Rhinolophus ferrumequinum: one gene and its partners. The protein of the gene in region 4 interacts with the protein of the main gene of each other region in a biochemical or structural test. Links are inferred from orthologs where the notes say so. Each region holds a gene or a part of one and is shown on either strand. Other genes may lie near its edges.

Evidence for each region.
Region 1: the proteins of STUB1 (region 4) and RUNX1 form a complex in vitro, tested with the Homo sapiens proteins (3 studies listed by BioGRID, with this or other methods). The link is inferred for Rhinolophus ferrumequinum from reciprocal best matches to the Homo sapiens genes STUB1 and RUNX1.
Region 2: the proteins of STUB1 (region 4) and PTEN form a complex in vitro, tested with the Homo sapiens proteins (2 studies listed by BioGRID, with this or other methods). The link is inferred for Rhinolophus ferrumequinum from reciprocal best matches to the Homo sapiens genes STUB1 and PTEN.
Region 3: of the proteins of STUB1 (region 4) and IRF1, one has a biochemical effect on the other in vitro, tested with the Homo sapiens proteins (4 studies listed by BioGRID, with this or other methods). The link is inferred for Rhinolophus ferrumequinum from reciprocal best matches to the Homo sapiens genes STUB1 and IRF1.

Annotation. Positions count from the first base shown.
Region 1 is NC_046285.1:100,669,063-100,676,056, reverse strand, and holds the start of RUNX1 (runt-related transcription factor 1), read left to right. Parts: upstream 1-3,977; 5' UTR 3,978-4,187; intron 4,188-4,309; 5' UTR 4,310-4,368; coding exon 4,369-4,426; intron 4,427-6,994.
Region 2 is NC_046299.1:33,168,378-33,176,046, reverse strand, and holds the start of PTEN (phosphatidylinositol 3,4,5-trisphosphate 3-phosphatase and dual-specificity protein phosphatase PTEN), read left to right. Parts: upstream 1-4,663; 5' UTR 4,664-5,679; coding exon 5,680-5,758; intron 5,759-7,669. UniProt on the Homo sapiens protein: Dual-specificity protein phosphatase, dephosphorylating tyrosine-, serine- and threonine-phosphorylated proteins.
Region 3 is NC_046307.1:8,819,789-8,826,996, forward strand, and holds the start of IRF1 (interferon regulatory factor 1), read right to left. Parts: upstream 3,002-7,208; 5' UTR 2,676-3,001; intron 2,594-2,675; exon of another isoform or gene 2,400-2,593; intron 1,664-2,399; 5' UTR 1,659-1,663; coding exon 1,572-1,658; intron 340-1,571; coding exon 240-339; intron 1-239. UniProt on the Homo sapiens protein: Transcriptional regulator which displays a remarkable functional diversity in the regulation of cellular responses.
Region 4 is NW_022680357.1:2,621,797-2,629,239, reverse strand, and holds STUB1 (E3 ubiquitin-protein ligase CHIP), read right to left. Parts: upstream 2,838-7,443; coding exon 2,679-2,837; intron 2,180-2,678; coding exon 1,981-2,179; intron 1,894-1,980; coding exon 1,665-1,893; intron 1,534-1,664; coding exon 1,446-1,533; exon of another isoform or gene 1,388-1,445; intron 1,313-1,387; exon of another isoform or gene 1,222-1,312; coding exon 1,165-1,221; exon of another isoform or gene 1,076-1,164; coding exon 959-1,075; intron 887-958; coding exon 761-886; 3' UTR 508-760; downstream 1-507. Other genes in the region: JMJD8 (jmjC domain-containing protein 8), read left to right, coding at 24-91, 170-304, 378-458; uncharacterized protein LOC117019799, read left to right, coding at 2,836-3,395, 3,468-3,561, 3,758-3,917, 4,097-4,249, 4,372-4,535; RHBDL1 (rhomboid-related protein 1), read right to left, coding at 5,092-5,363, 5,449-5,509, 5,585-5,685, 5,758-5,870, 5,992-6,140, 6,206-6,430, 6,641-7,009. UniProt on the Homo sapiens protein: E3 ubiquitin-protein ligase which targets misfolded chaperone substrates towards proteasomal degradation.

The DNA of each region.
Region 1 (6,994 bases), on a different chromosome or scaffold from region 4:
GAACTCACAGGATTAATGTGTTTCCAAATTGCAAACTAGGTGAAAACTGAGAATCCGATGCCCCTGGAGGAAAAAAGCCTTCTGTTTATATACATGTGGCCACCAGCTTGGTACATGGAGCGCACGGGAGTCTCTACATTGTGTGTCAAACCTCAAACCATAAACTTCACCCAAACCCAGCACTCGAGAGGAGATGTCCCAGAGATAATCCAAGAAAGCTCTATCTTAGAGGATATGAACCATGCCTCGCGTGGGTTTCTGCCGTCTAGAAACTTCCAGGGCTTACAAAATCATGCCAAGGCAACGAGACAGAAAAATTAGACTTTTCAGAAAGCTGTAAGGAAAAAAGAAATCTCCAAGAATGTAGAAAACTAGCATATTAAGTCTTTACCAAATTCCTACATAGGCAAGGCTTCCCCCTCAGAGCCAGGCTTGTCAAGCTTTGGTGTGTGTAGGACTCACCTGGGGATCTTGTGAAAATGCAGGCTCTGATTCAGTAGGTCTGGGAAGAGCCCACGCCCTGATTCCTAACAAGTCCCTGGGGGGTGTCCCTGGGGCTGACCCACAGGCCCCACTTCGTGGAATGAAGCACTTTCAACTCTTATGTGTGAAACAATGACCATGAAACAGCGCTTCATGTCATTAGACAGCTTTCATTTGATGAGTTGCTTTTTTTATTTTTTATTTTTTGAAATCCTGTTTCCTCACAGAGCCACACATCTTCAGCTAGAGAAGGTTAAGGGAAAAAAAGCTGAAACTCTTGTCTGACTATAAAATAAAGTTTTGTGGTGACTTACATTTGAATGGTACTTGTACCTGAAGGACCAAGAGACGTGTGCGTCAGACGCATGTGTCCCACTGTGGACACCACCATGAGGGCTCCAGGAAGAACGGTCTGTAACTGTGGGGCCTGAAGAGCTCTCTCGTTATTATAAATCACTGGATTTGCCAAGATCAGATTATTTTCATTCCAGGAAGCCCTGACATCCATGTCTCAGTTTAAAAATCGTCACTGAGGTCATTTTCAGCATGACACAGAAGTTTCTGGATAGTACCTCTGCTGGAACACTAAGATTTAAAAAATACGGAGAATGTGTGCTACAGAGAGAGAATTTAGCGGCATTACCCTCCTTGGAGGTTAGACTACATCCGATATTTGGGGGGCCCCGCTTTGGGGTCCATTTTCTGGCCAGAGAACCTGCTTTACAATAAGCGTGTTCAGAGAGAGCATACAGTGATCATGTAATGAAGATACCTAACAGGCAATGTTTTCATTGGACTGGACTGCACTCAGAAGTCTACACATTAATTACAGGCTTATGCAACGATGCGTCTTTCCACCTTTGCTGGTATTTATAGAGCCATTAAAAATGACACCTGAGCATATTCTCCTCCCCCCAGTAGTGACATGTAGAAGCTGTAGCCAATCTGAGTGAGGCTGGAAACTGCCATCCAGTTCCTTGGCAAAGCCACAGTCGGCTGTAGCCACTTGGGTACAATTCCCAAGGCAGCAGCCCAGGGTCTGAGTCATTTGCAGGAAGTAGGACAGAGGGTGTGGGTCACTGCACAAACGTAAAGAATCCTAAACAGCTCCAGCTCAGAGAGGACTGAGTATTCCTCTAGGCGGCTCACCGATGACATACGGGTATTTCTGTCTTGGGCTCCTAAGGAAGTGGTAAGGCCAAGTTCATCAGCCACCGGCTCAGTCTTTGCTAATTGTCATGACTTGGAAGATGCCCAGAAAGGCTCCAACTGTCGCCTCACCGAGCTGTGAAGTTCTGCTGTGGCTGTTGTGTCAGATAACCCAGAGGAAGGCAGCACCCGGCGGAGGTGCATGCCTTCAGATTCTGCCCCCTGGTGCCTCCTCAAAACCCCAGCCCTGACGATTGATTACAAATGATTACAGCCAACCCCAGCTTTACTCACAGTTGTCTTTAAACTTGGCCTGTCCTACAAAGACTCCACTGGGAAAAATGCGCATTCCGCTCTAGCTAGGCCCTCAGAGAAAAGCCAAGAATTCCAACAGCAAGCTGACACATCCAAACGTACCCCTCAAGCATCTGAACACCTAAAGCTGAAAGCATCTGGGAGTTTCTACAGTGAAACATTGAAAGGATTTATCTGCTTCGCCACTTGAAGTTCTAAGTCATCACTGAGTCTGAGCCGACTGTGAAATGGCAGCTGCGCGTTACAGCCTTCAGCTCTCAGGAGCCTCCCGGGGAATAGTAAGTGTAGTAAACAAGGGACTTGCTGTGGGGCTGAACCCAGACTTGGCTTTCTTGGGGAGCACAGGAACGTAACATGAAGTATCTTAACAAAGAATTTGCACTGCGAGTCATACGCAACATACATGACATCTGGATATTAATAAACTTCATAACACAAATATGCACATTATCATTCTTGTAAATATTAATAAGGTGTCAGCATTGAGCAAGCTAACTTTACACCAGTCTGGGAGAAAGCAGACACTTGAGTTTCAATTCCTGCTTTAGTCAAAACAGGAGTAAGTAAAACTCATGTCTATTCCTTTTAAAGGAACAGGGCCATTTGCCCTTGAACATGGTATCACTGTAAGTGTCGGCGAAATGGAGTGGATGAGGAAAACATCGGGGGTCACTCTGACAGAGCAGACTTTCCAAAGTGCCTTGGCTGGTTCCTGTAGGCCAGCTTGGGATCCAGGGTTGGCATTTAGAATTCATCATCTCAGTTTCTCTTGAGTGTGTGCGTTGAAACTTCCAGTGTCCAGAATGCCATGGAGGATGCATGTGGATCGCAGCAAAACAAAGTGATTAATTGGGAAAGGAGAGTCTTACTTTATCTGGGAACTTTACCAAGAACAATATTTTACTCGTTAGCAGGTAAACCAACTAGCAGGAAAAAGAAAGAAATATGTGTGCCCAAAATGGCTTGCCCACAAACAAACTTCTATTTTTCAGCACCTCCAAACAGGCATGTCTTCTCCCGAAGGCAGATGAGCTGTGGAATGATTTTGAGTCAACCCCCGAGAAGGGGCTTGCTCTGGAGAAGCGTCTCCTCCGCTTCCTCTATGTATCATGCATTTGTCTCCCTAATGCATTCAGTGTGGTTATGATAGCACCCGGCTGAGTTTTACCTACAGGTGGGGATTATTGATTCAAACAGAGCTACAGAAAGGCAGGCAGTGAACTTTCGCAGGTGAAAACAAAATAAACTGTTGCAAAGTAGCCACTGCTTTTACCCAAAATATAAAACCTCTGTTTTCTTTCTTTTCCTTTAGCTTCCTAATTTGAGAGTGTGTATCTGTGTGTGTACTATGATGGTATCTCTTTGCTGAAAAGATGTCCATTTGGGAGGAATAAAACCACGTAATTTTGGTTTTATTAAAATGATCTTTTCATCACAAAATTAATATGCTTTCCTTTTTTCAGGCTTTAAAATACCGGTAAGTTGCTAGATCCTTTTAGGGGTCAGACTCTCACCAAAACATTTCCTTTTCTTTTTGTTTCTTTTTTCCCCCCCTCCCTTTTATAGTTTCACTTATGCCGTAATAGTCTTTGCCAAGGGCTGAATTCTCCTGAGCATTGGACGCCCAGCATCTTACATGATGGGATCCACTTCCTGTCTTAACAGCAGCCCGGTGCCAGGGTAGAATTACTATTGAATAAGCGGCAATGAAATCTTAATCAAAATAATCAGTAGTTCCAAAAACCACAAATAACAACAACAGGACCCGAGTTCTACTAAATCAGCAAAGACCATTGATATAATAAGAGACTGAGTCACTTTTTTCTACAGTGGCTTTCTTGCAAAGTCTACTCGGCTATTTTCTTGCACAGCCTGGGGGAGGCAGGTGGAGGAAAGGAAGGGCATTGCTCAGAAAGTAAGAAAAAAAAAATTGACATCATTGAAGTCACGTGATGGGCAAGAACCAATTAAGAAGAGCTGTGGAAAGGGGAACAGTTAAATTTGTAATTTGGGTTGTGTGAAAACTTCTTTGGGCCTCATAAACAACCACAGAACCACAAGTTGGGTAGGCTGGCAGTGTCAGAAGTCTAAGCCCGGCATAGTGGTCAGCAGGCAGGAGGAATCACACTGGCTGCAAACCACAGGGTTTCGCAGAGCGGTGAACATCATCAACCCACAGCCAAGACACCGCTTTTTTTTTTTTTTAATCTTTAACAATTTGAATATTTGTTTTCGCAAAGGTACATTTTTCATAGGGCTCAGGGAGCCCCAGAGGTATCGAGGAGGGGGAAAAAAGAGATGTGGGGAGCCATGGCTGGGGGTGAAGTTAAAACAGTGACCTTTCTTGGTTTTCGCTCCTAAGGTAAAAGAAATCATTGAATCCCCCGCCTTCAGAAGAGGGTGCATTTTCAGGAGGAAGCGATGGCTTCAGACAGCATATTTGAGTCATTTCCTTCATACCCACAGTGCTTCATGAGAGGTGAGTACATGCTGGTCTTTTAATATCGACTTTTGCTCAGCTTTTGCAGATAATGAAATGGCAGCCTGTTGTAACTCGTGCAGATAGACTGGCTGATTCCCTGTCTGTTTGGTGGGAGGAATTCAAACTCAGGCATATGATTACAAGGCTATTGGATTACTTATCCATCAGATGGCAGCTCTTCAGAAATGTTTTAATAAATACTTAGTTAAGCTGTTGAAGTGTTCAGTCGGTGTGTGAAAACTTTGTCAAGTGCGAGTAAGTTGGGCTGTTCCTGATTAAAGTCCTGGAGATTATAAAGCTTGCACGAAGCTCTCTGGATTTTCTTTTGCTGTCCCTTGCTCGGAATGACAGCGGCTGTGTTACCCTGAACTCAGCACGCTGTGTGGCCCACACTCCAGCCTGCCCCGGGCTTTGGCACATGCACTGCCGGCCAGGAGGGCTGTGCCAGCCTGGGGCGGAGGCTGAAGTAGGCACGCAGATAGGCATTAGACCAGCCGCGAGACTTCAGGGACAAAGGGGCCACTTGGTTGTCCCCAAGAGGCAGAGAGTGCAGGAGCCGGGCAGGTTTGTTGAGGTTGGAAGTTCCGGGATGAGGTTGTGCTGTGTTGTTCCTTGTAGTCTCAATGCAAAGAGGCAACCGGCATCTTTCAAGAGAGAAAGAAAGCAAGTTGTCTCTTCCAGGGGTCTGTCTCACAAAGAGTAAATAAAGACGTTTTCTAAGTCAAACGTTGCTGCAGCTTAAGTTATCAGATTGCAGGACTCCTAACAGGAACAGCTAATGTGGAAAACCTGTCTGCGTTTTTGCAGCCAGCCTCCTGAAATGTGCAAAGCTGTAGAGGTGAGGAGTGTGTGTGTGTGTGTGTGTGTGTGTGTGTGTGTGTGTGTGCATGCTCGTTCTGTGTATCTTTGGTGGGAAAGGAGGGCCGTGCTTAAACCAACAAAAACAATAAAAATGTCACAAAGGCATTGCAAAGTGTCAGGGCACGCACTTTAACCAATGCCTGCGAAGTGTGGCTTGATGGTTTGGCAGAGCTGAGATGGAGTGGGATGGGTTGGGGGATAATTAATTTTCTGGCTACAACTCTCGAGCGCACCCAAATAGTATCTGTGACTCGTTATTTATTCATACAGCCAAGTGAGCAGGAGCATGCAGAGGGCTGCCAGGCACTTTGTCACAACAAACGCTGTTGTGAATGCCACAGAGTTTCTAGGTTGCTGGGTGCCTGAAATTTAAACACTTGACGTGTGTGTGCGCACGCGTGTATGTGTGTGTGTATGTGTGTGTGTGTTGGCGGTGGTGGGGAGAGGATTTCAGAAGAAGGGGGAAGAAAGCAAGTCATTAACCGATTCAAAGCTTCAAATTAAAGGGTTTTCAAGTGCTGCTTTACTGGCAGCTGAGGACATTTTAGTGAAGTTGAATCATGCGCTATGTATGAGTCACACATCCTCGCAGCCTGGGCTCCAGTGGCCACTGGTGAGAAGCTGCGAACTGCTCCCTCGCTGCATTTCCTCTGGGTCTCTAACAAGCAAAGGAAGCAATATTTGTAGAATAACAGAAAAAAGATCTTCCTGCCTTAACTCGCTTTCAACACCTCCCCCCACCAAATGATGATTGTTTCCTATTTTATCAACTCAGGAAGGCAGATTCAGGAAATTTTAAAAGATTTCACTGGGCAATAGATTGGATTTCTGTGTGTGGTGCTGGCATGCCTTCGGTCCTTACCGGTCGGACAACAAAGATAAGAAGGGGACCCGGCGACCGGCATAGACAGCAGGCAAGAGAAGGAGCCTGGCCCCTAACACAGCCCCACAGCTCCTGGGTCCCCTGGACCGTCACCCACCCACCCCAGGGTGGGAACTAGGAGCAGTTAGTTTTCAAGAGGGCTGTCGGGAGAAGACCCTAGACCCCAGCCAAGACTCAGAAGGGCTCCTGGCAGAAGGTCTTTTCATTTCTTCCTCTCAGTAAAAGGAACTCGAGGCCTTTCATCATCTGTATCTCAATAATAGAATAATGAGATTTAATTTCAGAGAATCAAAGTGAAATCTTGGCAATTTCCCAGTTAAGTTTATCAAGGTGATCCATCAACATCACGGTTTCAGTTGTCTGGATTAGCACCACTCCCGGGAGCTGGAGGGGTGGCCAAATGCCATTGCTTTGGGTACTACTTGAGGTATTGCCTTAGGGACGATGGTAGGACAATCACCATGGTCCCCAACACACTGTTCTCGCTCCGATTCCTCAGCCCTGTTTCCGTAGCCTGGTCAGCAGCCGCACTCTGCACCGTAGTCCTTTCTTGCTGTCTATAGTTGACAGCATCTGTTCCCTTCCCAGCTGCAAGCTGGAGAGGAAAACATCTTGTGTTCTTCCTGGGATGGTACTTTGTTCGTCCGTGCAGTTCTCACAGAAGGACACCCACTTTGGGCAAGATGTCCATGTGGAAAATGGGGCAGAAGGAGAGGTGTGGGAGCAAGCAAACCATTGCTCCCTTCTCCGTGCGAGGCGAGTGAGAGTCTGAAAGGCTGGCATGCAAAATGAATGTGGTCTACCACAGAAAACACCGCTCC
Region 2 (7,669 bases), on a different chromosome or scaffold from region 4:
GTAAAGAGAAAAATTTATAGGAGTGAAGCAATGGTCAATCTTAACTCTTTTTTAGTGTTCTTCCTGTACATAGACAAATGAGGCTTACTCTGCAAAGCACCTGGTAAGTGCCCCAATGCCTAATATATAAAATTATTGTATTTTTCTATTAGTGGAAGAGCTAAAAAGCCAAATACGTGTTCTATAGGGCTAGATTTAGAGTTAGTATTAAGGGGACCAAAGTAGAATATCCAATAGTCAATTAGGTTGGAGACTAAAAAAGGCAAAGCTGTCTTCTCATATTAGGTCTTCTTTTCTATCACCTTCTAGGCCGAGTCACAATTTCTAAATGTCACTTGGACACAATAAGTGCCTGGTCTGCTCTGTGGTTCTCCCAGAAGCACCCAGCCCAACTTTTATTTCTGAGTTATAAGTTCATACAGCACACCTCTCTGCTGAGATGTGAAAGGAGACATAGGTGCCATCTGAAATAGCTCCAGGAGAGATTTAGGACACTCATAGATAATAATGGAGATTTAGGAAGAGCTCATAGATAATAATGGAAACTTTGCGATTATAGTTACTTATATGATCCATAGCAGTGCCTTCTGGGGAAATGTCTTGGACAAAATATCTTTATTCAAAAGAACAGCAATATTTATTGTAATTAGGATAAAGTAGGATAAATGAAATAAGGGGAAAGCCTTTGGACAATTTGAAGAATGGGGTGGTTTAAAGTCAAACCTATAATTGTTACATTTTTCTATTCTGCATTATTAAGAAAACAGTGCTTATACAGATTAAAAATAGAGACGATGGCTTAAAGATGAAAACCATTGACTTAGATCTCTATTTGAAAGGTCAATGTGTGGGAGATGAGAAAGGCACTGTAGTGTGCAGAGTGTTCAGCAAAAGACATGTTAGCAGCAGAACCTACAAAGACCACATCAGCTATTTATATCACTCACATCAGGTTGCTGGTGATTTCACTTATCAAAAAAAGTAACAAATGTATTTTCTTTGGACATTCTTTGAGTATAATAACAATGCAGTTTGGGAATCAGTTGTTAGAAACTGATAATTAAAGCTGGTTTGTCATGTTCACTATTCTATATAGTTAACCTCCCAGAAGCTTTATATAATTCTCCCTTTGTTACAAGCTTTTGTTTCTCCCTACGGCGTTCTGAATCCAGACAGGTAAAGAACTGAAGTGCTTGGAAACCAACATGTATTGTGTTATATGCACAGCCAAGCAGATATTTGCCTTTGAACTTGAAAAAATTATTAAAAAAAAAACCCACAAATCTTTCGGTATATTAGATGGGTTCTGCTACTTAGAGGTTTAAGCTCTACCACTTGGGTAAGGAGATTTCTTGCGTAGAAGGAAAAAGTGAAGAAAAACGAAAAATGAAAAAGGATGCTTTAGTATTTCCTTCAGGAACCTACTTGACCCTGGGAAAGGGAGGAGATTTTTTTTCAGCAGCTCCTAATAATCACCTGGTATTGCTGTCAGGCTGGCCAAATATCTGCCAACATTGCTGATCCCCTCATTCATCACTAGAGAAAAATAGAGGGACATGATGTTTCGAGAAGCAGCAAAACTATCTCCCGTTTTCTTTCTTCAGCCGATGGAGGTGTTTGTGGGCCAGTCTCATATTCCAGCACTTTAGTGCTGGTGATGCACATCCTCTTTGCTCCAAAATAACTCTGTGCCATGGGAATTGGAAAGGATCCCTCCTCATGCTTAACATCAACAGGGTATAAGTGAACCCAGTTTCTTCCCAGGAAGTGGATTTCAGAACTTCTCAGATGATGGAAGAGTAATCCTCACCTCAGGTAGACTCCAGGAGAGGGGCAAAGAAGGGCATTCTTATAACAGGGACTCTGGGGACAAGCTCAGCCACCCAGAAACAAACATAGGACATTTTATCCCTCCTCAATCTATTATTTCCCTTCATTTGACTTCATCTTCACTTTGCCTTTTCCCACCAAGTAGTAGTTGATATTCAATTGAGCACAGCTCAGGTTCTTACCATGCACCTAGAAATCAGGGAGTCCTTGTCCTTGGTTATTTGTAAAATAAAGAAATCTCTAGCTCACACTAGGCTGTGTGGACAGGATTTTCATCTTTGTAAACCAAAGTAGGAGTAGGCCTTTCTCCTACTCTTTCCAAATTGCTCTCCATTTAATTTTCCACTGTGGCCCTTACTTCCCCCAAGCTGACCAGGACCATACACAAAATCAGCTTCCAATAAATATCAACATTGAAGGTTCAGCAGGTTGCTAACTCTTGCAGAGTTATCGTGAAAGGATGTTGTATATAAATGCCAAGTTTTATGGAGACTCAGAGATCTCTAAGAACACTTTAAATATCCCTGGTTTAATTAGTAGTTTTGGAATTAGGTAATGGCCTGTGGCTTCTAAGCTAGGTCTCTTGGGGTTTCTAGTCTTCAGGGGCTGCATGCAACTATGATGTGCTCATACAATCTTCTGTCTCATAAATTGAATAAAATCCTCTTCAGACCTTCCCAGGCACCTATTCTCAATTACTGCAATACACATGCAAATTGATCCCCATTCTTCCAGATCTAAGAAAAGAAAGAACCAGTGCCTCAGCCTAGATCTCAGCTCAGATACTTTTGGACTCCGATTGTCTCCTTGAGTTCTACTTCCCAGGGGAAAGAAAAGGAAGAAATTCCTAGATTGATGACCATTTTCTCTAAGCAGGAGGTGCTTAGAGAAAATGGGCATCAACTCGCTTTGCAGCTGATCAATGTCGGGATAAATACGCTCCAGTTCTCAGCATTTCTGAACCAGCTCTCTCACCGGGATAGGGCAACTAAATCGAAGCTGTAACCAGATTTGACAAGTTTATTCTGGGCTGACGGCCATTGACTAGGTTCTCCGACTAGATAAGTCACTTGGCTGAGTTTACAGTAGGTGGGGCGCGCTCACCAGCTCATCAGCTCAAGGGTAGTGACTGGAAGTTTGTTGCAACATCGTTGAATCCAAGCAGCGGGCTGCAGCAGGAGATACCCTTTTGCCCCGCGAGCAAGGCACTAAGGAAAAGGTTCGCCCTAAGGAGCATCGGGCACTAGCAAGGGAGAGGCACCAGACTCCCGGTGGCCCAGCCCCTTCTCCCACGGTTGGGAACGCGCAGTTTTAGTCGACTCAGAGCTAGGCGTCTCAGGTCTCGGCCATTTAATTTGTTCTGTGGGTAGCAAGCGGAGAGTGGGACCAACTTGGGAACTCTCGCTCTGTGGTCTGCAAGAATCAGCGGCGGCAGCCACTGGTGCGGGAGGCGGGGGCACGTGCTTGGATGTGGGTGCTTGTGTAACCAGCTCCCAGGCGTCAGCCCCGACAGCGCTCCGGTGGGTGGCTCGCCTGAATCAGTTTTTCCGCCGCGACCCTGCAGGCTCTGGGGTCCCTTGTCCGAACAAAGCGGGAGCACCCCGGGCGAAATAAGCGAACCACTCGCCTCGTCCAGCTATCATAGGGGAGTGGGAATTTGGAAAGTTCCCCAACTAGGAACACACGTGACCTCCTCCTGAAAGTAGTTCCGACTGTGGCCGTGTATCCCTCCACCTCCTTTCGAACCCTCCTCTGTCTCTTTGGCCCCGCCTACTCGCAGGGGTTGCAGCTTCCTACCGTCCGGTACTTCACACTTGAGCCAGCAACCCCGGCCTGCAGCGTGCACAACCCGGCTTGGGGAGCACGGAACCTGGCCCTGGGGCGATCCCGTCCGGGTTTTCACAGCTGCCCAAAAGGGGCGGGGCGAGGTAGCCTCGGAGGATCGAGCTTGAGTTCGACGCGGTGAACCGAACTGGAACCCCGAGGGGGGGGCGGGAAGTGCTCAGCCCTCCAGGGGGCGATGCATGGTGGAGCCCACCTGGGGATCCGCTTTCAGTCCGCTTGGACAGTTGTCTTTTGGGAACTGGAAATTCAGGGGCGATGCGCTCACACTCAACGTGCTTGGACGGGAGCTCTCACTTTTAGGGCAAACGAGCCGACTTGCCGTGGAAGCGGGAGGTGGGGCGGTGAAAGAGAGCCGGATGAGGTGATACACACTGGAGACACAATAGGGGGTTGTTCTTTGTGCTGAGACTGACACCTTGAGAACACGGGGGCGGGGGAGGAGGGGAATGGAGATGGGTTTTCTGGGAAAGGCTGCTGCAGTCAAATCCCTGCGAACGACAGTGATCCAACACCGGTGTAAAAGGAGAGTGAGGCTGCCTGCAGGCCGTGTCGGGGAAATCTGGGGGCGGAGGCAAGCGGAGGGGGTGTCATCGCTGCAGGGACCGTTCCTGCGTTTCCCTGTACACTGACCAGCGCTGTCACCCGCTCCTTTGCACTTGTGCACAGGTAACCTCAGACTCGAGTCAGTGACACCGCTCAATGCACCCGCTTCAGCTTTCACCTTCAGCCCACCCCTCCCCCCACAACAGCCTACCCTGCCTCTGGCTGGGTTTCTGGGCACAAATCAAGGATTAGCTAGTTTCCCCGTCCTGCGTTGAAGCAGCAGCCAAGGCAAGTGCTGCTACTGGCGGGCGCCTCGGAACATGCCCGAGCGAGCCCTGGGTAGTCACACTGGGCATGCTCAGTGGCGCCTGCAGGTTGGGGGCTCGGAGCTCGTACACGGAGCTGCCGCTCCTGCCCCCTCCCTGCTCCCTCTGCCCTACGCCGTCCTTCCCTCCCCCGGCGCGATCGCGCCTGCCTCCCGCCTCCCCCACGGACTCCCGAGGCGCTCAGGCTCCCCGCGCGTCGGCGGAGGGGGCGGGCAGGCCGGCGGACGGTGATGTGGCGGAACTCTTTGTGCACTGCGGCAGGATACACGTTCGGACGCCGGGACGCGGTTGCGCTCAGTTCTCTCCTCTCGGAAGCTGCAGCCATGATGGAAGTTTGAGAGTTGAGCCGCTGTGAGGCGAGGCCGGGCTCAGGCGAGGGAGATGAGAGACGGCGGCGGCCGCGGCCCAGAGCCCCTCTCAGCGCTCGTGAGCAGCCGCGGGGGCAGCGCCCTCGCGGAGCCGGCCGGCCGGCGGCGGCGGCAGCGGCGGCGTTCCTTGCCTTGTCTTCGTCTTCTTTTCTAACCGTGCAGCAGCTTCTTCCTCGGCTTCTGAAAGGGAAGGTGGAAGCCGTGGGCTCGGGCGGGAGCCGGCTGAAGCGCGGCGGCGGCACCTCCCGCTCCTGGAGCGGGGGGGAGAAGCGGCGGCGGCGGCCGCGGCGACTACAGCTCCGGGGAGGGAGTCGGAGTCGCCTGTCACCATTTCCAGGGCTGGGAAAGCCGGAGAGTTGGTCTCTCCCCTTCTACTGCCTCCAACACGGCGGCGGCGGCGGCGGCACATCCAGGGACCCGGGCCGGTTTTAAACCTCCCCTCCGCCGCCGCCGCACCCCCCCTGGCCCGGGCTCCGGAGGCCGCTGGAGGAGGCAGCCGTTCCGAGGATTATTCATCTTCTCCCCATTCCGCTGCCGCCGCTGCCAGGCCTCTGGCTGCTGAGGAGAAGCAGGCCCAGTCGCTGCAACCATCTAGCAGCCGCCGCAGCAGCCATTACCCGGCTGCGGTCCAGAGCCAAGCGGCAGCAGAGCGAGGGGCATCAGCTACCGCCAAGTCCAAAGCCATTTCCATCCTGCAGAAGAAGCCCCGCCACCAGCAGCTTCTGCCATCTCTCTCCTCCTTTTTCTTCAGCCACAGGCTCCCAGACATGACAGCCATCATCAAAGAGATCGTTAGCAGAAACAAAAGGAGATATCAAGAGGATGGATTCGACTTAGACTTGACGTGTATCCATTTCTGCGGCCGCTCCTCTGCCTTTCTGTCACTCTCTCTTAGAACGTGGGAGTAGACAGATGCGAAAAATTTTCCATAGTCTGGGTGACTATAACATTTAACCCTGGTCGAATTTCTAGCTTATGGACATTTTGTGCCTCTTTTGAATGCATTGAACGGAGGGTGTGTTCTGCTAGACGGAGCTCTTGCCTGGTTGCAAGTGTCAAAAGCACCGATTGGTTTCTTAGTCTATGTATGGGGTCTCTTCCTAAGGGCTATTGTCCGTTAATACAGAATACAGTACGCTGTTAGTGGATTAGTGAGCTCGGTAATCCGGTCTACTAAATGAGCAGAAAAATAGACGCTTTGAGGTTGAGCCTATCTCGATTAAATTTTGGCTTTAGGCCCTAGATCAAGGGTATAGATCAGATTAAAATGAAAATTAGTGTTGCACGTACGCATATTGCATCAGAATCTTGCAGTGATTGTTCTTAGTTTTCTGGGTTGCATTGATAGACTCTTAAAATGTGACTTGGGAGCTGATTTGCATAATTTTAGAAGCAGACTCATTTTTAGCATATATGGTGCTCATTGGAGGACAAAAGTAGGGTTTGTATGTTTAAACTAAGTTAATTACAACTTTGACCTGTATTTAGGAGTTGTGTCGTTTCACATCAATAGTGTCATCCCTCATAAGGCGCTTTTATTACATCGTTGTTAAATTTGCCTTTTTCTCTCTTGATGGGGTGATGTAGCATAGGGCATGAAATTTGCAGTTCAAGTAGTATTTTATATTCAGTGCTCGTCACACGTAATAGAATGGAGATTGAGTGTTTTTTGATCCCAATGATAATGTGTAGGTTCAAGAGACTGTGGCAAATGGTGATTGCAGAGATTAAATTTCAGTTCTCACTTGAAATTTAAGTATTGTGATGCCAGAACTGCTACTCACCTTTTGTAGACTTCAGGTCCTCTGACACCTTTGGGTTTCCCTTAAGTCTACTCCGAGTTGTGTAGAATGTCAACTATGATTTACCCGCTAATGACCAGAAATGCTGGCAAGAGTGGATTACTCCAGCTTCAGATTGTAGGTGTGTTAGCTTTTTTCCATAGTGTTAAATTTACTGAGTCAGCTTGTTGAATAAGATAGAAACCCCAGAAATTTTAACTGTACAGTTTTGGTTGTCTAAAAGTTAGGCCTTTGTACTTCAAAAGGTAGTGGTTATTGAAAGGCATTAATCGTTGTAGTTTCAGATATAATAAACTGGTTTTAATCAAGGATGGGGAGCTCTCCTTTTTGTACAATGGGAAGTATCACAGTAATTGAATTATTGGTAGGTCAGTGTACAAGGCATGAAAAACAGAATTAAGTTATTGATCTGAGGTGACTGGAGCACTTTGTTAAGGCCTCAAATTTGGTGGTGTGAACTGTAGCAATGGACAATATTTAGTTGAAATTATGTAATTGCAGAAGTATTAATAGAGTAGTCTCAGTAAAAATTATTTCTTAGCAAATGTCAGTAAACATTTTGCTTAAAGGTGACACGTGTGTATGTCCTAAAAATTATGGGGGAGGTTTTTTGTTTGTTTGTTTGTTTTAAAACTTTTTATATCTGAAGAGGTTTTATTCCTTTGGATTATGTAGGTGCACATAAATAAATGTGCATAGCTACTTTTGCCTGAGTTTTTGTTTTAAAATGATGATAAAAGTTACTGAAGAAATAGCTTTACAACATACAAAATGTAACAGTTTCTAAGTTAAAAATAATATTGAAAAAATAATTGGAAATTTTGGGGGAGATTGCATTAATTGAAAACTTTGCTAAGGCTGAACTTGACCCGCTTGCCTAGAAGATATTAGGTAAAAACTCAGAAGTTCTGATTTGTAACAATGCAAAAGTAGTGTACTACTGGTGTGAATTGAC
Region 3 (7,208 bases), on a different chromosome or scaffold from region 4:
TCCCTGAAGCCACACTTTCTAAGGTTTCCACTTCACAAATTCTTTTGAGAACTTGCTGAAAGGATGGCTCCTCTCCCCAGAAATACAGGTCTGCCCCTGCCCACCCTTGAGTTCTGTACACCATCTCAAGTTGCTCAGAGACGCCAGGGACAAATCTCCGTGTTACCAGAAGTGCCTCCCCATGGCCCCTCCCTGGCTCCCCACGTCCCTCCCTGGCTCCTCCTGGGCTGATCACACACCTGTGTGGATGGCCCAGCTCCGGAACAGGCAGGCATCCTTGTTGATGTCCCAGCCATGCTTGGCGGCATGCTTCCATGGAATCTGGAAGATCATCTCCTCCTGAACAGCACAAATACATGCACACAAGGCAGTGTCAGCTCAGAGACCACAGGCTTTTGGCCTAAATCTGCCCAGCCCCCCAGGTCTGGGAAAAGGCTTACTTCCTCTTTTCACCCTGACAGCTGGCTTGGGTTGACCCATCCTGAGATTGGCTTAAATAGGCTACTGTATAGCTCTGGACGGCTCAGAAGGGGTTCAAATAAGCTGTGGCACCATCAGCTCAGCAAAGACCCCCCTCTGCCTGTCACAAATGTGCTGGAACCCATACAATGCACCCTGGGGTGCTTCTCTGGCTTGTCAGCACCAACATGGAAATGAGAACTCTGTCCATTAGAGGAGGCTGCTCAGGACACAGGAGGTCCTGGCCATACACCTGAAGGAGACTCGGATGCTGACTACCTGTGTGACCCTGGCACTGTCACTGCACCTCTTTGTCCCTCACCGTTTTCTGTGAAACAAGAAAACACACTGATAAATATAAAGACTAAAGCCTCACTGTTCTCATTACTGATAGTTAACAGTATGGATTTCTGAGTCAGACTGCTCAGTTTAAATCTTGGAATCAAAGCCACTGTCTACCTCTCAGTGCCTCAGTTTCCTTATCTGAAAATGGAGATATTAATAGGCTCTCCCTCACAGGGCTATTTTGAGGATTAAATGACACAATGTAAGTAACATACTTAGCATGGTGCCACACTCACTTGTGGGGAGTGTACAGTAAGCAGTCACTATTATTATGAATACTGTTATTACTAGTGAGCAGGGCCTGTGTTGCCCTTCATGCACCAGCAAGAAAGTTCTTGGGCCTGGGCCCCTGGTACAAGGTTAATTCTTGGGTCCCCTGCTGAGCCAGCCACCTTCCTGCCAACAGTGCCCACTTCTCTGCCTCGTATCTGTCTTGACTGGAGCCCTGTAAGATGCCATACGTGTTTGTAGGGCTCTGTCTCAGGAGACACCAGAACTCCAGCTCTGCAGATGCTGGGAGAGTCTAGCTGCTGGAAACTGTCAGTGACCTCAGCTGGGTGCCCTGCCCATGCTTCGTGAAGGGAGGAAGGCAAACCATGGGCAAGTGGGGCCCAGGGCTGGGCCTGGCACACTCCCTGCATGCAGGACCCACTGGGAAACACATCTGCCTCCTCCCTACCACTTCCCTTTTTGAGTTGCATCTGACGCTTTGGTCCCCCAAAGAACATGGGTTAAAATGTGGCAGGAAAACCCAGAGTTACACTCACTTTATTAATCCAGATCAGCCCTGGGATCTGGTTGGAATTAATCTGCATCTCTAGCCAGGGTCTCATGCGCATGCGAGTGATGGGCATCTTGGCTGTGAAGAGAAGACAGAAGGCTACTGTTTGGAGTTTGTTGAGCAGACCCTGGGCACTACCCTACCCACCCCATGTCATTCAGGTACCCTCCTCTGCCCTCCGCCAAGTACCAGGTACTACAATTGCGGGGAGGAGGTTTTCACTGGAATAAAACTGCCCTGAAAATCTTTTCAGTATCTTGGGCAAAAAAACACTTCTGCCCCTTCCCTCATCTCCTCCTAGACAGTCTTGGGAGGAGACATGCATGGAAGTGATGGCTGCAGGATTTATGTGCAGGAAAATGAGACATAATACACAGATAGCTTAATACCAGAACTTTTCTCCCCAAATTCAAATCCTTTGGGAAAGGAGGGGTGTCTTTTGCTTAATGCCAAGAAATTTCCCTGTTTAGTTGTCCCGAGCTGTGCACCTTCCCTAATGGGCAAGCAGTCACCCTGCCCCAACCCCCCATCTACTCTACGCCACCCTGACAGCCACAGTGCGGAGGCTGGGACGCTAACCCTTCCGGCCTGGCTCGGGTGTTCGGAAGGAACACCTGTGGCGCCTCCTCCCGCAGCTCCCGCAGTTCCTCCAGCCACTCAGGGCAACAAGCCCCAGTCCCTGCCACCTGCATAGACAGCCTGAAACCCGGGGCCTGGAAGCGGAGCTGGGACCGCCGCGAGGAGCACGGGGCGCCCACGCGAAGACCTATATCCGAGTTCCCCGCACCGCTTTGGATGCGCGCAACCGACATACCCCGCCAGCCAGAGGCCCCCGGTGGCTTCACGCACACAGATCTGAGAAAGCGGCCGGGCGCCGGCAACCTCCGCCAGTGGGCGGTCCACGCCGCGGCCCGCCCTCCCCGCGCTGCAGCTCGCCGCTCCTCCAGCGCCCTCCGGAGCCCGCGCGGGGGCCCAGGCAACGCCGCGCGCCCACGACTCTCTCGCCTGGGGTTTTCGGCCCCCACTTCCTCGAGCCCCGCAGGCCTTTGTTCGACGCCACTGGTACCCCCCGCGGCGAAGGCGGGCTCACCTCTGCAGCAGGCGCGAACCGGCGGTTGTGCCCGAGGGTCCCGGCGCGGCGCGCGCGATTCCGGGTGAGAGCGGGGAGAAGGAAGAGGATGCCCGGGTCGCGGGGCCGCTGGGCACGGCTGACCTTGGCTGGGCTTGGCTGGGCTCTGCTCGGCCTTTGCTCCGGCGCACGTCCTACCTCGACGAAGGAGTGGCGCGCTCTGCCGGGGCAGCGGCGCCGGCCAGCGATCTAAACACTTAGCGGGATTCCCCCAGCCCCGCCGTGGCCCCGCCTCCTAGAGAGCCGCGAGGGCGCCTATTGGCCAGCACCGCCCCATCATTTCGGGGAAATCAGGCTGTTGTAGAGCTAGCGGCGAAGGGGAAGTACAGGGCGGCAGCTCTTCCCCACCTCCCCCACCCCCGGCCCGGCGCCGCCGCCCCGGGGCGACCGCGGGCCCGCCCCGCTAGCTCCCACTCCACCCCCACCCCAGCTCGCCCCTGAGAAACGCTGTCCTGGAAAGCCGAAAGCCCCTGGCCTGCAGTTACTCCCCGCTCCGCATTCTCCCATCCTGCTAGCTCCTGTGGCCATCTTCTCACCCTCCTCTCTGGAGGGGGAAGACGTCTATCTCCTGAGCGCAGGTGAGGGGATCACCCGGACACCTGCCACCCTCTGCAGAGTGGACACCGGGATTGAATTCCCGAAAGCCAGGCTGGTTCCTCAAGCTGCCAACGGGATGCCAAGAAGGGAGGGTGTCAGCCCTCACTGCCTCACACTGCCTCCTTCTTGAGGGGTGACCCACCTTCAGGGGCCACTTCTTGAGGGGCCACTCACCTGCCCTGAGGAAGTAAAGGAAAGCCGGTCCTGCTTGGGGATGCTGCCTGGGGATGCTGAGCGAGAGGAAATCCCAGTCTGGCAGCTGCTGGTATAGCCTGCCAAGGGACTCCGGACCTCCTAGTTTCCTCAACTACAAAATAATAGCCCTACCTGGCCGGTTTGGTGGAAGAGAGATGGTATCTGTAAAGCCCCATGCCCCATGCTGCGTGGTTTGTGAGGTCCCGGGCCAGTCTTATAGTGAGCAGGGAGACACCTTCCCCCTTCTCGGTCTGCATCCTTGGGACTGCCCCACAGCTGGCATTAGGGAAAGGGGAAAAGAAAGGTTTCAGAGAAGCCATGACTGCTGAGTTGGGGGGCGGGGGCTGGCGGGTCGACTTGGTCCCTCTAGCACTCCTACCGTAAGGCCACCTCCACAGCCTCACCTGGCCCTTGCATGGGAGCTCCTCAGTGTCAGCTTTGGTGTTGTCTCTGAGGACTCGGGGATTTCTTAGGGCTGGCCAAGGCCGTGGGTCTAGCCAAAGGGTTAGGGAGCCCAGGTCCCAGGGGCCAGTTAACTCTTGTGATTACAGGTAGACCTTGACTTACCTGTACTCCTAGAGGCTGGACTGGGCGTTCATTTTCTATCCAGAACTCTGGCCCAGCAGACTACTCCTTTCCTCACCTCTCCAAAGCTGCTGACTCAGGAGTAAATTGCTCTTCGCAGCAGAGCTGATTGTGTCAGGCCCTTCTCCGGAGCTCTCCCTCCAGGACAGCACCCAGTTGCAATGGTGCAGACTATAGACACGTTGAGGCAGCATTCCACCTGCCACTCATTCCACTGCCTCCTTCCCACAGAGGAAATGGATGGGTTAAGCCAATTCTGGTGGTGGGTGCAGGAGCTGGCAGAAGCAAAGAGGAGGGAAGAACTGCAAGGAATGAGCCTAGCTGGGTGTTAAGCAAAATGGAAGGTCCTGAGGGCCTGGAAGGGGAATTGTTGGGGTGCTTTAAGTGACAGATGAGACCTTCTCAGCAAGAAGAGCAGAAACAAGTGGCTCCCACTTCGTGAAGTCTGTTCTCTGCAGCAAATGGGTGTTTGTTCTGTCCCTAAGAACCTGACATAACCACTGGAAAATTCAGAATGAGATTAGGGAGAGGAAGTTTGAATTTCATGTGGTCTGAGAAATTGACCACAATGACCCTGTATAGGCAACAAGTGTGTGAAAGGTGCTTTAAAATAAGCACTTTATATTAATTCACAGATATTAATCTGTATGTGTATGCGTAATGTACATCTTTCCATGTCGTGAAATGTACTTCTGCAATATCATTTGTAATGGGTACATATTATTCTATCATTAGGATAAATAAAAACTTACCCAATTACTCCCCTATTGTAGGACATTTAGGTTATTTCCATTTTTTCATAATGCAAACAACACTGTGTAGCGACATCTTTGCACACATCAATAATTTTTTGCTTAAGAGAAATTCCCCAATATTAAGATTTACCAATGAAATTGTCATTTACATCTTTGAAGTGTTCTTTGCCGTTATTTTTTTAACTTTCGGGATTCTATTTTATCTTGAAGCCTCTAAGAAGCATCTGTTTATCATGATTGGGGGTACTCCAAATCAATAAAATAAACCTAAACCCTGTTCCAGTACCTCAAATTTTTATTGTAACTGCTCTTGATGAGTCTCGTTCTACCATGTATCACATTCCCTGTGATGCTAAGCAGAACACAGAGAGCCTTCCTTAGGTTTTTCTTAGTAATTCAGGGCTGGCCTTTTCCCCTCTCTGAATCCAATACTCATTCATACTCTGTAATTCCAGCCATCCTCTCTGGGCTGGTGACCACCAAACCCAAGCTCTGGCTGACTGCTGGCCCCCCCTACAACCTTCTCTACGGATTCACACACACACACAACAGGACTCCTGGCCTCCCCTTTCCACACAGTCCCCATCAGCTTTCTCTCGTCCTAATTCCAACTGCCTCTCTGGTGAAGGCTTTCCCATCCTCCTTCCCTCTTTGCTTTACCTGGTCCTCCGGGTCTTCCTTCCCCCACACCAAGTCATGTTTTCACATTCCAGAAACAGACAGCCTCCCCTATTGTCACAGCCTTCCCTGGGGCGTGCACTTGCATGCGCCTCTGCACAAGGATGATCTCCCTCACTATGAAGATCTCCCTAACATTCAGGACCACCCAGGAGCCTTCTGAGTTCCCCCAGATTCCTCAGCCCCCCATTCAAATCACTGCTCATTCTGGTCCCAAGGATCTCATTCTAACCTCTCCCACAGCTCCCCTACCCTTGGCAGTAACTAGAGGGCTGTGGGAGAGAACACAGGATTTGAGTCTGAAAGTCTAGGTTCTTGTGCTTTTGCTACTTGCTGTGTGGCCTTAAGCAAGTTACTGTCCCTCACTGGGCCTCAATTTTCTCATCTGTAAAATAGAACTACTCTCGCCCATTTCTCCTAATTATTGTGAAGATAAAATTTGATAGACTATCAAACTCCTTTCTAAACTGTAAAACATTAGTCAAATGACATGTAGTATTAACAGTAATGCACGAACTTTTCACTGCATTTCCATTCTGTGAACACACTGTATTTTTCCCTCATGTCTTTGCTCCTTCCATTTGCTCCTCATTACTGACTTCCTGGGATACTTAGCAACACTCCCCTCCCCCCTCCAAGCTCAGTTCTCCCCTTCTCACTACCCCCTCTCCCCACACAGTTCAATTTCAGTCTCCATTTTAGGGCCCAGAGCAAATGCCTGGTCTTTTATGAAGTGCCCCCAAAGCAGCCAGGCAGAAGTCCTTCTCCTCTTCAAAACTCCCTCACCTTTAAATTTCCTGTTGGCTTTTCTCCACTCATCACCTTCTTAGTGGTGACCTTCTGGGGAACAGTCTGCATTTTTCTGCAAGAGGCCTGAGTTCCTCACACCTGCACCTGGAGTTAGCTGGAACTTAGCTCTGGAGCAGGGGCTCACAGGACGCCTCCCATCTATACTGTCTCTCGCTGAGGGTAGATTTATTGGGCAGTTTCTCTGTATTAGGGTTTTCTAGTCTGGCAGGAGGAGCTGGCTGGCTAGCAATCAGGATGCTGGAGGCAAGATCACCTCTGTGGGAGCCTCTTCCCTGGTAGACCAAATTCTGTCCCCAGCCCCCTCCCTCAGGCTCTCAGAACACATTGCCCTCCCCCTCCCCCCAGCTGTGTGCAGTTAGTCCTGTGGTGCAGGACACCGAGGCTTTAACTAGGTCTTTGAGAGTAGTAGGGCAGCCCTGGGCCCCTGTGGGATCTGCTATCCAGAGAAGTGGCCATGGTCCCCAAAGCACCCCCATCAGGTGTTCCGGCCTTCCCGGTCCAGATGCTCAAAGTCCCTCCCAGCCATCATCTCTATTTCGTGGCAAACCTGGGAGGCAGTTCTAAACTGTTAAGTTCAGAGAACAAATCGGGCATAAAGTCATCTGAAAGCATCCAAAAGCTTGAGAATAGAAGCCAGGCATCTTCACCCTGCCTAGGAAAGGATCTCCAACTAGGAAAGGATCCTAGTTGGAGAGAAAGGAAGATGTTTCTTAATTCATTTTACAAATACAAATCACACTCTCGTTCCGGTTCAACTCCAGGTTTGGCCCTGGGGATATGCTAGGGCACGAGACTAAACCCTCCCCTCTCACAGCTCTGGCAAAAATGCTGTATGACACAGCAGAATAAACATTGGGCAGTTGTAAAAAATCCT
Region 4 (7,443 bases):
GCTACTCATAACTGCCCCCACAGGAGCTGGCTCCGGGGTGCCCTTCCACTGGCACGGGCCTGGGTTCTCAGAGGTGATCTACGGCCGCAAGGTCAGCACAAGGTGGTGGCTGAGACTTGGGGCTCACTGACCACAGCACAAAGAGTGACCTTGCTGCTTCCACCCCCAGCGCTGGTTCCTGTATCCCCCTGAGAAGACACCCAAGTTCCATCCCAACAAGACCACACTGTCCTGGCTCCGGGACACGTACCCAACCCTGACGCCATCGGCACGGCCCCTGGAATGTACTATCCAGGCTGGTGAGGTCAGTCACTGGTAGGAGGGGGCGGGGTTGGGCTGAGGGCCCCCAATTCATCCCTGTGCCCTACCCCATCCAGGTGCTATATTTCCCTGACCGATGGTGGCACGCCACACTCAACCTCGACACCAGTGTCTTCATCTCCACCTTCCTCAGCTAGCCAGAGCAGGCAGCTGGCAAGTCCCATCGCACACCGGCACACAGCCCTATGACTGCTCACAGGTTTTATTACAGGGACAGTGGTGGCAGCAGCAACCTCAGCCCAAGCCACCCTAGCCTGCTGTTTCTGGCCCAGAAGGGGGACGGGGAGGCTCATGGCCAACCAGCAGACCTGATGGAGGATGGGGTGGGGACACCAGAGCAGGGATCCAGGGGCACAAACTATGTACAGGGGTTGGGGGCTATCGCCCCAAGGCCCTCCTGGGCCAGGGTGTCAGGTAAGGTGGGGCCAGTGGCCCTGCCTCAGTAGTCCTCCACCCAGCCATTCTCGGAGATGAACGCGTCGATGACTTCTTTCATGGCCAAGTTGGGAATGAGTTGTTCCTGGGTCAGGGGGCTCCGGGTCACAGGGTCAAAGTGGCCCACGCGCTGCAGTGACAACAGGGTCAGACGGTGCTCAGTGGGCCCAGGCCCTGCCCCCAGCGCCTGTGAGTCCCTCACCTGCAAATGCTCCTCGATGTCCTTTCGGTCATAGGTGATGCCACTGGGCGTGATGCACGGCTCCCGCATCAGCTCAAAGCTGATCTTGCCACACAGATAGTCAGGGATATCCCGCTTCTGCCTCACACAGGAGCAAGTTAGGGACCAGGAAGCGGACGCTGCTCCAATTCCTGCCGCCCACAGGCCCCAGAGAACACACCACTCACCTTTCTCTTCTCATCCACTTGAGAAAAGAGCTCATCCATGTCTGCTAAGTACTTGTCCTGCAAAGAGCCAAGCAGCCACGCGTGGGCCAGACACCACATCTGCTTTCCCCAGACAGGCACACTCAGACCCCACGGGAGCCAGGGCCACCCCCCCGTCACATGCGCACAAACACACACAGACCCACGTGAGGGCACACTCAGACCCCACGGGAGCCAGGGCCACCCCCCGTCACATGCACACAAACACACACAGACCCACGTGGGGGCCGGGGCACCCTCACGTGCTTGGCCTCGATGCAGGCCTGCTGGGCCCGGACGTGGCCGTCGTCCTCATCACCCTCATGGTTCCGCTGACACTCTTCCAACTCCCTGAGGGTTGACCGGGAGCGGGTCAGAGAGGTCTGGCTAGGGAAGGTCACCTTCCACCCCAACCTTGGGCTTGTTCAGGCCTCATCCCCCCGTCTGTCTCCTGTTCACCAGTGCTGGCCCTCAATAAATACTTGTGTTCGTGACTCAAGAATGGTGACTTGTGGGGGGTCCTGGAGCCTGCCAGCACAGCCCACCTCTCCCGCTCAGCCACAATGAGGCGCGTGAGGTAGGAGTGCAGCTCGTTTTCCTGGTGGATGCGTCGCTCCTCGATGCTGTTCCAGCGCTTCTTCTTGGCGATGCGCAGAGCGCTGGGAATGTCATCTCCGAAGTTGAGCCGCTGCTCCTTCGCCAGATTGTAGGCTGAGGGAATAGAGTTCAGCTCATCCGCTGGCCAGTCCACCCGCCTGGCCCCGGGCACCCCCACACCCTGCCAGCCCGGAGGCCCACCTCGCTGCAGGTTGGCGATGGCCTCGTCATAGCTCTCCATCTCCAGCTGGCATTGCCCCAGGAAAAAGTGTGCCTTCACAGACTGCCCGTCCAGCTCCAAGGCACGCCGGCAGTCGGCCAGGGCCTGCTCATGCTGCTGCATCTTCAGGTAGCACAGTGCCCGGTTTGTGTAATACACCGCCACCAGGGGATTCCGGGTCTGGGGACCAGGACCGGCCAGTCAGCATGAGGGCGTGACCTCAGCCTGCCCCCGCAGTCCTAAGGCCTGTCCTGGCGTGGGGTTCACGGCTGGAAAGCTGCTAGTATCTAGGTTTCTCAGCTTCAAAGCTCCTGGATCCTGAGGATGGCTGGAAGGTGGCGTCTGGTCCTGAGGCCTGCCCGAGCCCACCCTCTTGACTCCAGTAGGTTCTGTAAGGGTAACTTTCCCAGACCTGTGGAAATCCCTGGCCTCCCGGGCTCTGAGGGCCTCAAGCACCCTGAAGCTTTCACCCGCCATAGTTCTCCGGCGGGGGGCTCGAGAGCCGCGGCTTCGGCCCCTTTGGAACGAGATCACCATTGAGTCCTCAGACCCCAAACGCCACCCCCGTCCGGGCCCAGACACTCGGTAGGTCTGGCGGCGGCGGCCAGGCAGGCCCGGCAGGCCCCGCCCCCTCCCCTGGCCGGGGCGCCGGCCCCACCCCCGACGCGGGCACACTCACGATCGCGCGGCCATAGCAGGCCGCCGCCTCCGGATACTTGCGGCCCACGAAGAGCCGGTTGCCTTGCTCCTTGAGCTCCTGCGCGCTAGGGCTCTTCTCGGGGCTTCCACTGGCGGCGCCCAGTCGCGCGCCACCCTCCTTCTCCTCCTTGCCTTTCATGGCGCCGCGCGGCACGGCCTGGGCTCCGCTCCCAGGCTCCGCGCCCGGCCCGCCCTGTGCCCGCAGCCCGAGCCCGCAGCCCGAGACCGCGATCCGCTCGGGCCCGGTCCAGCGATCCGCCACCGGAACTTCCGGCCGCGCGGGGCGGGGCGGAGCGAGCGGGGCGGCCGGACACGCGCGAGTGGGAGGGACTTCGCGTGCGCCCGACGCTCTGTGGGGGGGGCCAGCGGAAGTGTGCGCTCGGGGAGACGCGACCCACGACGTCGGAAGTCTGGAGAAGAGCCGAGAGCTGCCCAGGTGGCTCCGCCCCTCGCACTCGGGGCTGGTCCTTCCAGAAGTCGGTCCGACTCACGCCGCGCGGCCCGCCACGCCCATCAGAGGCCCCGTCCCCGCGGCCGGTCCCGCCCCCTCCGAGACCCGGCCCTTGAACATGGCGGTCGCCTGCGGGCTGTGGGGCTGTGAGGACCCGAGCCGCTGGGCCGCCATCCTGGCGCGCCACGGGGAGGTGCTGCGGGCGCGCGCGGGCCCCCGGGGGCAACTGGAAGCCCTGGATCGATGGTAGGGCGATGGGGGCATCGGTAGGGCGGGCGACCCCCGTTGCCCGGACTCCCCGTCACCGCCTTTTCCCAGGTACCGAGAGGATTTGCCCATGGCCATTGAGGGCCGCGCGGAGAAGCACGTGACACGAGAAGAGCTAGAGCGGCTGCTGGCGTGGAAGCTGGCGGTGAGGGGCTTCCACGTGGGGGGCGGAACAGCGGCGGGCGGGCCCGCCTCCTAGGGGCGGGGCTTCACCTGGGGGTGGCCCCTCGCGGCGTGGGGCGGAGCTCCTTTCAGGAGGCGTGTCCTCATGCTGTGGGGCGGGGTCCCCCTGGAGAGGCCCTCCACCAGTGACCACCCCACCCAATCCGACTCGGCCACAGAGGGGCCGCTTCCGTCCTCGCCTGCAGCAGCTGGTGGCCACCAACCCCCCGGAGCAGGTGGTGCAGTGTTCGGCTGCTGCCTTCCGCCTCCTTCCAGACATGCGGGCAGCAATCACAGAACTGTGCGCCCTCCGGGGCGTGGGCCCCGCCACGGCCTCGGGTTAGTTGGCAGAGCTGGTCACACCTGCAGGGTCGCGGGCGGGACCTGGCCTGCTAGTGTCTTTGAGATACGGGCCGATGCCCAGGCCCATGATGCAGAGGGTCCCTGGGAATGACAGTCCACACTGTGGTTATTCTGAGCCTGGTGGGGTCTGAGTGCTGGCCCTTCACTGCCCCCAGCGGTCCTGGCTGTTGGAGCTCCTGAGGTGGCAGCCTTCATGTCCGATGAGGCAGTGGCTGCAGTGCCCGGCCTGCCAGCTCTGCAGTACACGCTCAAGCATTACCTGCTGTACCTGGGCCGGGTGCAGGAGCGTGCCAGAGCCCTGAGCAGAGGTGAGGGGACTGTTGGTGGGCCAGCAGGGTATCCAGGACTCCAGTCAGGGGGGAGTGTGCAGAGCTGTTACGAAGGGCAGGGTGGCCCGTGCCCTGAGCCCTGAACCTCTGTGCCTCCCTAGGTAGTAACTCAGGGTTGTGGACCCCTCACCATGTGGAGACCGCACTGTGGACCTGGACTGTGGGGCAGAAGCTGTGCCCAGACCTGCTGCCTGACCTCAGCCCCAGCCAGGGCACCCCTGAGGCTACCAGGCCAGCCAAGAAGCACAGGACTCAGGCCGACTGAACTTGGCTGTGGCCCAGGGCCTGCTCACCTGCCGTGTGATTGTAGCAGCTCAATAAATCCTTGCTGAACTCACTCCTGACCGTGAGGTCCACCGTCTGCCCCCGCCAGCGGTACCCACCTCCCATACAAACACATCTTACACTAGGTGCAGAGGAGCAAGGGAGAATCCAGGCCATCCACACGGAGGAAAGAGCCCTCACAGTTTGCTCGAGTAAGGGGGGAGGCCAGGCCAGCCTCCGGAGCCCTGTACAGCCACCTGGTGCTGTGTAAAATATTTATTCATTCTCCAAAAAGGCTCAGACTGCAAGTCCTGGGGGAAGGCCGGGGCAAGGTCTCCTCTGGGGCCACCCTTGGGACCTCTACCGCTCAGCCTGGCCCAGCAGTCCTACCCGCCCCAGGCCTGGGAGGGGGGCCAGGGCTGGTGTAAGGCTTCGCCTGGACTCAGTGGGCCACAGGGGCCACCTGTCCTCACAGGGGAGAAGCAGCCTCGAGACGTACATTCACAGAGGGCGGACATGCAGGCCACCCCCTGGCCCATGTGGCCCCTGGGAGCTTGTCAGGGTGGCGGGGGAATGTGGGCGCCCAGCAGGTCATAAGCGAAGATGTTCCAGAAGATGGCAAAGAGCAGGAAGGTGCCGTAGGCAAGCAGCACCACCCACCAACCGCACTGGTCCCGCAGGCGCTCCTCGTAGCTGCGCAGGATGGTCAGGCCCATGCTGACCCCCACCACCGCACCAGCCAGGTGTGCCATGAAGCTGGGCTGTGGGCCGGAGGCAGGCAGTGGCGGGGAGAAGCGCAGCCACACAGCCCGGCCCACCTCGGAGCTCACTGCAGAGGGAAGTGGCAGGTGGGAGGGGCCCTTGCCGGGGGCTCAGCGCCCCCCTCCCAACCCTCCCCCAGGTCCCCTACTTACTGCACACCAGAGCCAGCACCATCCTTAGCAGCTTGTAGGGACACCTCATCCCAGCCCAGTTCTGATGGAGCGTGAGACAGGCTGTGAGCGAAGCCCGGGGGACCCCTCCCCCACCCCACCCTGGCTGTCCCGTTACCATGACGACGTTGGCCAGGTGTGCAGAGCACAGGGCGTAGACCCCGCCGGAGCCCCCCACCACGGGGGCCCGCATGTCAGTAATGGAGACGGTCAGGGAGCCTGTGTGGAGCAAGGGGACACCGTGAGGGTGAGGCCCACAGTGAGGTGGCCGTGGGGCACCACCTGCCTCACCTGCCAGCACGCCAGCCAGGTAGAGCAGACTGATGCGCAGCAGGCCGTGCACCATCTCCAGGGGCACCCCGATCATCAGCTGCAGGAGAGCGTTGAACCCCAGCTGCTCCAGCCTGGCCGTGTGGGGGCAAACAGGTATGGGGGTGGGATCAACCATCAGGCCCCCAGCTCCGGCCGCAGAGGGCTGAACCCCCCTGATTCAGCCAGGGGTGCTGGCAGTGGGCCCCCACTCACCCAACGTGCATGAACATGTAGGTGAGGAAGCGCCAGGCCCGAGCTCGGTGGCCGGGGTGGTACACGAGGGGGCTCTTCATGTACTCGGGGTGGTAGGTCTGCAGCACCCACTTGTTGAGGCGTGCCCCGTAGCACAGGAACACGATGATCTGGGAGAAATGGGCATTAGGGCCAGGCCAGGCCAGGGAGACAGGTGCCAGGTGGGCAGGCTCACCTGGGCAAGGGTGACAGAGGCCATGAACACAGGGGGTGGGCAGCTGCGGTGCCGGTAGAAATACCAGTGGCGATCCACCTCCCGGGGCAAGATCTCGTAGGCCACGTAGCGCACGAACCGCTTGTAGACACCCAGGCCCGGCTCGTCCAGCAGCCCATCCCGGGGCAGTGCCCGCTGCCCGTTGGCGATGGCCCGCTTGAAGCTGCTTGAGCGCTTGCTGCTGATCTGGGGGGGTGGGGCCCAAGCATGGGACATGGTGCCCCCCCATGGCCTCCATGCCCACCTGGTCCACCCGGCTCCTCACAGGGTGTAAGGCCCTGCCCCAGTGGGAAGGGCAGAGAAGAAGGGCCACCTGCCCACCCAACTCCAGCCAGGGCACTGTACCGGCCCGGGCCTGGGCCCCCGCCCCTGCTGCCCACCCACAGTGGCACTGACCAGGTCCACCAGCTCCTGGTAGCAGACCTGGCCCCGGTCGTTGCTCTGGGCCAGGGCCACCAGCATGTCCAGCTTGGCTGGGTCCAGGGGCAGCTCATGGCTATGCACCAGGCCGGTGAAGGTGTCCGCACCGATGAAGCCTGTGTTCTCAGGGTCCAGCTGCTGGGGTGGGGTGGGGCCGCCCGCCAAGGCCTGAGGGTGGGCCCAGCCCACAGACCAAAGGGCTGGGCCAGGCCAGCTGGGAGAGGCAGTCTCCCAACACCCTTGGGCCAGGCCCCTGTGCCCACATGGTCCCAGGAGCTGCCAGAGCACTGGTGCCTGCTTGCCAGGCCTCCAGGGGTCTCCCCACCTCATTTTCGCCCCGCTCATCCTGGAAGGGTAGAGCCAAGATCTGAGGACAATTCCCCTCCCTTCCCCCTCCCCAGGCGTGCTGGTCTGGCTGGCCCTTTCCTGGGGTGTCAGGCAGGGGGCCAAGGTCGTGCAGGAAGGGGCCTGGGGGAGTGGGGGCTGGGCTGGGACTCTGCGAGCTCAGCCCAACGGTGGAGGGCCGCGACGGGGGCGGTGCCGGCACCCCCGTCCCCACGCACCTGTTCCTGGATAAGCTGCAGCAGCGAGCTCCTGTCCATAGAGCCAGGCCGGGCTGGGGGCCGGGGTCGGCGGCCGTGGCCGGGAGGGGCTGCTCTGCGGAGGACTCCGCTCCGCCCCGGCCCGTGCGCTCCGCCCGCTCCGCCCGGCGCCGCGTCACGGAGCTGCCCGCCCCGCCGCTGCCGCCGCCACGCGCGGCCAGAACACGCGCGCGCCCT